Linked DNA regions of Tribolium castaneum. The protein of the gene in region 1 interacts with the protein of each later gene in a biochemical or structural test. Links are inferred from orthologs where the notes say so. Each region holds a gene or a part of one and is shown on either strand. Other genes may lie near its edges.

Region 1 (4,600 bases):
TGTCGTTATGCAACGAGCGTAGGCGAGTGTTTTTGCACTCGTATCATTAATAACTATTTTCGCAGTCTTCAACAATTCTAAGGGCAAAAGTAAGTTTGTATCTTGCTATTTTATGTATTTTTATTTGAATTTCGTTACACTGACAGCGAGCATACCATATAACTACAAATAAATATTTTGCCAATTTTTAGTTATTGGACGCCTATTTGGCTTAGGACAATTTTTGAACTTATATGCTCATTCTATTGTGCTTTTTTTTCTTTTTGCTAACATATTTATTAAATGGGGGTGTACAAATGACCAAGAAAATAGCATTGTCTTATAAAATGAAAAAACTCCGAAAATCATAGTACTTCAGAATGAAAGAATAAAATAAAGCCACTAATAATACAGAGACCAACAACAATATACAACAAAAAAAATCTACTTAATTGCCGATACACAATTACTTAGCCTATCCCAAAGCTTCTGAAAGAATAGAAAAGATACAAAAGGCAAGGGCACCATTTGCCATCTCATCAAAAATATATCGCGCGATAATAGAAAATAAGAAAGTCTAATAAGAAAAACACGAATTGAAAAAGAAACAGAAAGAGAAAATTTAAGAAAACCAAACAAGAGTAATCTATAATTATTTGCTTGTCTTGCCTAAAAGAAATACATGTGTGAATGAACAACCCTTATGTTCCCAGAAATCACAAGGAACATACTCGTATTACCGATGATAAAAAACAAAACTTGTGCATATGGTATCTCTGTTATAGGGATGACAATAGTGAATATTAACTGGATAAGTTAATATATAAAGATGAGGAAGAAACAGAAACAGAAAAATAAAACTAACGAAAAAGAAGAGAAAAAAGTGATAAAGAACCCAAATACAAAGTGAAAAAAATGATGAAAAACAAATTGTGTGTTCATGATCGAGATGATTTATATCACGTGAATAATTAATTAAGCATTACATTAGATTTTAAACTTTGTTGAAAATTTAATAGGAATTAATTTTAATTTCACTTCTATTTTGGTCATGCAAATACCTGTCCAATAACGGTGGTTCCGGCGTCCAGTAATTATAATTTTTGCACTCAATAAATAAAAACGGTGAGGAAAAATTTATACGCACTTTCGAAACTTTTCTACACATTTTAATCTTTAGTTTGGAATTACGTATTTTTTATATCTTTATTTTAAAGGCGGTAATGAATTTTACAGTTAAGATTTTTTCAATACCAGGGGACTTTACCCAATTATTAAAAAAATTAAATTTTTTTGGTTTTATTTTTGAACCATATAACTATTATGCAACCAACTTTACAGATGTAAACAACAATTTTTGTACCATTTTTATAAAAATTCAACAAAAACAGTAGTACATTAAAGACAATTTTGTGTCTAAAGTAGTCCGTAAAATAGCACTTTTTGGACGATTTCACAGAAATTGATTGCGCTTTAGTTTGAATTTGGGAATTTATGCTTCACTGTTGCCACCACTGCGAGGTCAGTGACGTGCGGCGTTGCCGTGTGTGTTTCAAAAGCACAAACTTTATGTTTTGGTGGCGTCATTTACCGAATTTTCCGTGAAAAACTGTAATATTGCCTGAACAATATTACCACGATGAGTTTTTCCAGCGACGAAGTGAATTTCCTTGTTTATCGGTACTTGCAAGAGTCGGGTGAGTAGGCTGTGGCCGACATAACCACATTTCTTGGCTTGATTGTTGTCATTTTGCAGGTTTTCAACATTCTGCTTATACTTTCGGTATTGAGTCGCATATTTCCCGATCAAACATCAATGGGGCTCTTGTACCGCCCGCCGCACTTCTCAGTATTTTACAGAAAGGTTTGCAATACACTGAAGCTGAAATCAGTATAGGAGAGGATGGACTGGAACAGAGATTAGTGGAGAGCTTAAGTTTAATCGATGCTGTGATGCCTGATGTGGTGGCGAGTCGCCAAAATCAGCAGAATGCACAAAAACAGCCGATCAAATCGGAAATTACTGATACAAATGGCGAAGAAGGTAGTTACTAATTATTGTTATACCACAACTTTTCTAACTTAAATTGTAGCTGTAGTGTCAACACAGAATGAAAACATGGAAGTAGACACATCTATCGAGATTCCAACTTCCAAAGCTACAGTTTTGAGGGGGCATGAGTCAGAGGTTTTCATTTGTGCGTGGAATCCCACTACTGATTTGTTAGCAAGTGGCTCTGGGGACAGCACAGCCAGAATTTGGGACATGTCTGATAACACAGCAAGCCCCAATCAATTAGTACTGAGGCACTGCATCCAGAAGGGGGGCACTGAAGTGCCAAGCAACAAGGATGTTACTTCACTAGACTGGAATGTATGTGCTTTGTTTTCCTTCTTATGGCCAAAATATGCAAGTTTTTTTATTGATCTTTCGTTCCTTAAAAAAACTCAAAAATTCCCGACTTTCGTAAAACTGCGTTTTTACTTTAAACACCACTTAAGGCCCGATTTCTCGCGAAATTTTCAAATGACTTTTGCGAAAACTTTTCCTAGACCATTTTAAACGCCAGTATCGTGTTTAGCGCGTGATTTTGCGTCATTTGAAACATTTTTGCGATCCAAAGTTCCTCAAACTTAATCCAAGGGCGCTTTATGCATTTTTCTAGGTCTTTAGAACCCTCTACATTTCTTAAAAGTGCAAAAAGTTAATAGATTCGATTTTAAGTTGTTTGATTTTTTTCTATTTTTGTCAAGATTTTTGGTCGATTTCTGGTACCCAGAACATTTATTATTTATTTATATTTATTTATTAGTTTATTACCATTGGAAATCTTTTGTGTTCTCTATCTTTTTGAAAAAATTGTTGTCATAGGCTAATAGTTTTTGAAAATACGGAAATATTGATAATAATTAATCGATTCCCCGAATCATTTTACATAGGTCATTAATTTACTTAATTTTTAAATATATTTTTTATATTTCTGCCTTAATTGAGAAAACAAAAATAAGTTTGCAAAGTGATTACGTTTCTGGATGAAAATGTGTTAATTTTATTCCAAAAATGTGTTTAAACATTCAAACATTGCTCCACACAGTATTATTTTGCATAATCTTTTACGAAATTTTCCGAAATAATGGCATTTCATCTCAAAAGTATAGTTAAATGTTTGGTTTACCGAAATTACGCGGAACTAAGTTTTTTTTACACACACCGTTTTATAATTTGTTGGCTTATTTTCGAGAAATTTCTTGATATAATTGCGTTTTTGATGCGATAAAACGCTCAAAAAGACAAACACTCAACTTATTGCTTTATTTTCAAAATATTTATTTTCCTAAAATAGGAAACAAGGTTTTGATTTTACATTAAAAACAGATCATTCGCTAAAATGCACAAAAAATCAATTTGGTTTAATCGTCAAAAACAAATCTTAAAAATGTTTCGTTAAACAAAACTTTTGGTTGCTTATTTTATTTAATGAACCCCTTTTGCCTTTACATTGGTAAATTAATTAATTTATAAATTGATTTACATTTCATGTGGTAAAAAAATATCTATGTTGTATTTATTGAAGTTGTTCTACAGAAAAAACACATAAACATCGTGTAGTTTCTTAGCGTTCATTCCCTAGTGCAAACTAATAAAATTTCACAGGAGTAAGTCACACTTCAAACGGGCAAAATTGTTTAAACAGCGACTTGCACTAGTGAATTACGCCAAATTACACTAGGAAGTGGACGAAAAGAAACTCCTGTACCTATTAAAATATTGTTATTACATTTTTTTAAATTGCATAATTAACTTTCTTATGTAATGATAAAATTTCTTTTCCACACAAAAACTTTTCGTGCTTTGTCTCACAATGATTGTTGGTAATTTTGAATTTACTTCTCATATTTACATTCCAACAAAATCAACGGCTTATGTTTTGAACTTGAAAACTGTTATAAATTTTACAATTTGCTCGACGCTAATCGATTCCTTGGATCAGTTTGCATACTTTTCCATCAAAATAGTTCAATTATTTCAAATAATATTGCCGTACTTAATTCAGGAAATAATATTAAAGTTCACAAAGTGAATGCATATCTGCTGGATGAAAAATGTGGTATTTTATCTCAAAAATCTGCTTAAACCAAGGCTTGACCTTCAAAAAGTGCTTCATTTTTAATACAATTCTGCGTTTTTTTGATATTTTTTAACAATATTTTACGAAATTTTCATGTAAAAAATGTGTTCAAACGACCAGTTCAGCGAAATTTTGTGAAAAACTAAGTTTTGAGTTTAAAAACGTGCCCTTACACTGTAGACAAGCAATAACCGCACCATTTGTTTTTTTTCGGCTTATTTTTAAGAAATATTTGCGTTTCCAAAAACGCCCGGAAAAGGCAACTATTTATTCAAAGCTAGTTTCATTTCATTAATGCACGGAAAATACTGTTATCAGTTGTTTATTGACCTTAGAATAAGTAAAAAAATAACAATAAAAGTCAGCTTTTTTTGTATTGCACAAATCACTGTGTGATTTCAGTGCGACGGCAGTTTATTGGCAACAGGAAGCTACGACGGCTACGCCAGGATATGGACCACTGACGGTCGCCTTGCCAGTACTTTGGGCCA
Region 2 (2,684 bases), on another chromosome or scaffold:
TTTAAAATTAAGTGATAGAGGCTTGGAAATCGCAGAAAGACCACGATAGACAGAGCCAATGCCTACTTGAGTTAGTGGAGAAGATTGAGCAGCGGCATATCAGAACAAGGTTTCGCGGTAAAAAAAAATTTGCACTTGTACTTTTTATTATTTATTTTTTTATGATTCCAATAATAGCAGTATGAGATAATAAGAATTGGTATGTAGATAGAAATGCTTACATATAGAAAAAAAATCTATGTAGATATTGAAGTTATTGATATAAATATGGAATTTTAAATAAATGATACGTGTTAGTCATTGTCGAACAATCCTGATCGCATAGAATTTGATCAACAATAAAATGAATTATTTTTGAAATCTAATTAATAATTATAGTTTCGATTTCCTAGGAAATAATACACGGTATTGTCAAACTACAAGTTTTGATTTTTTAATGAATTTCAGTGTTTTACATTAAAAAACTGATATAGACGGTAAGGAGGTTCAATAATATTATGTATATATTACATTTTTTCGCAGTCGGCTCTAAAATTCTTTAAAATCTTCAGTGAGTTTTGGGTTTTTTAGCACGGGATCGTCTAAGACCAATTCATATAAGCGTTTTCGGTCAAAATAAGCTGATTTCAGTCTTTCACGATCAATTTTCGCGTTTTTTAGCAAGAAATTGCCGAAAACAAGCGTTTTCATATAAACTGGTGGATAAATCGGCGCTAAGGGCTTTAGGAGTTCCGGAGCGTTCATAGCATCATGTGCAAGGTTTTAGTCAAATTAACTTAAATAAAATATATTTATACTTATCAGTGGTAATAATAATCTCGGAACTGACGTAATTTTGGATTACTCGTCAACTAGACACATTCGTGACATTAACAAGGTGTGCACCTTTTTAAGAGTGACTTTTGCCTCGGTGTGGGTGCACGTGGCAGTGCGTAGTAAAAAAATGTTTGGGGCGCAGGGTCAGTTAGATAAAGTAATGGTACATCTGCAACATTCCCATAAAAACATAACAACGCTCAACGGCGAGGACATCGTTTTCCTGGCCACTGAGATCAACTTGGCCGGTGCTGTCGATTGGGTGATGATGCAGAGTTGTTTCGGTCATCATTTTATGCTAGTGTTGGAAAAACAAGAGAAGAATGATGGTCATACCCAATTCTTTGCAATCGTTCAGTTGATCGGCTCGCGCAAACAGGCCGAACATTTCGCCTATAGGTCAGTCCCAGCGTTTTGTTCTTTAGTATTCACAGTGTTTTTTTATTTAGACTGGAGCTTAACGGAAACAGGCGACGTCTGATCTGGGAAGCCATGCCGAGGTCCAGCCATGAGGGGGTCGCTTCGGCCATTATGGCCTCCGATTGTTTAGCGTTTGATAATTCTATAGCCCAACACTTTGCTGACAACGGAAATTTGGGTATTAATGTTACCATTTCTCTAGTATGTTGAGCCTTCAGTTCGATTATTTTTCGATGATTAATTAGCATGTAAAGTTAATATATACATATCCTATACATTATTGTTCATTTAAAACTTTTGTTCGTTTAGTTTGTGTGACAAGATTTTGTTTTGAGACTTTACTTTGAGTTTACTTTTTTGATCAACTGCTTCGAAATGGCATTGTTTTATGATATATACTTACATATTGCTGTGTTTAATGGATTTTTCGTTTCGTTGCGAATAAACTTAATCAAAAAACTACTGTAGTCCAATAATTTATTACCTCACAGTGATACACAAAAGGTAAGGTCGAATGTGTTACGTTGCAGGTCAGCCCAACTAATAAATTGTGATAAACATATTTCTTCTAATACCCACTTTGCTATAACCGTTTTGAAACTAGTGCAGGTTTTATGTACATTACTTTCCACATTTTGTTATCTAATATTTAGTGTAAAAAACCCACCTCTTGTAAGATTAATTTACGTGTGTTCAATTTGTGGAATTCGTTTGCTTATGGGTTTTAGCTTAAGTTGTCATAAGTCGTTATAGTTGTTATGTTAGATGATAAATTTGTCCTTGTACATTGTAATAATGGGCACTATTTATTTAATGACTATTCAACTACTTGTAGTTTATATGTTCGATTATTTCTGCTTCGCTTAATGTAAAATACGCAATAAATTTTGTTTAACTTTCTAAAACTGAAGTTTATTTCAAACCCTAGCCCTTCGATTCGGTAAAACACCGAAGAGGTGTGGCGCTCGGTGCACACTTTTAAAGCGCCATCTCTTACAATTACGTTGAGTTTACACGAGAATCAACGGTTGCCTACACTATAGGGGAAAATGTACCTAAAGGAGTAATGATTTTTATCGCAATAAAAATCTTATCGTGATGATGAGATAATAAGTAGTAACAATAACCGATCTTTGAGTCACATAAAACATGTGCAGCCATGCAAACCATGTGAAACAACCTTTGATAGGGCTGAGAAAAATATTCGTAACTAAAAATACTTTTTTTTTGAAAAATATAAAGTTAAAAAATTTCGGAAGGATACGCTAATGCGCCCGTTTTTGATAATGCTGTGCAAGTCGTTCGGAAAAAGAATAAAGTAAGCTAAAAAATAGCTCTCAGGGGAAAAGCAATTTCTAATGCAAGCAGTGTCAGCGTCGTCAGCCTTTTCCTTAGTCTTTAAAGCTTCATTATTCATTAGTCTGAAGTGGTAGTTTTAAACATGAAAT

The links.
Region 2: the proteins of ebi (region 1) and sina form a complex in vitro, tested with the Drosophila melanogaster proteins (2 studies listed by BioGRID). The link is inferred for Tribolium castaneum from reciprocal best matches to the Drosophila melanogaster genes ebi and sina.

What each region holds. Positions count from the first base shown.
Region 1 is NC_087398.1:13,091,342-13,095,941, reverse strand, and holds the start of ebi (F-box-like/WD repeat-containing protein TBL1XR1), read left to right. Parts: upstream 1-1,495; 5' UTR 1,496-1,618; coding exon 1,619-1,676; intron 1,677-1,735; coding exon 1,736-2,023; intron 2,024-2,072; coding exon 2,073-2,353; intron 2,354-4,511; coding exon 4,512-4,600.
Region 2 is NC_087403.1:8,292,074-8,294,757, reverse strand, and holds the end of sina (E3 ubiquitin-protein ligase Siah1), read left to right. Parts: intron 1-958; coding exon 959-1,215; intron 1,216-1,265; coding exon 1,266-1,446; 3' UTR 1,447-2,141; downstream 2,142-2,684. UniProt on the Drosophila melanogaster protein: E3 ubiquitin-protein ligase that is required for specification of R7 photoreceptor cell fate in the eye by mediating the ubiquitination and subsequent proteasomal degradation of Tramtrack (ttk).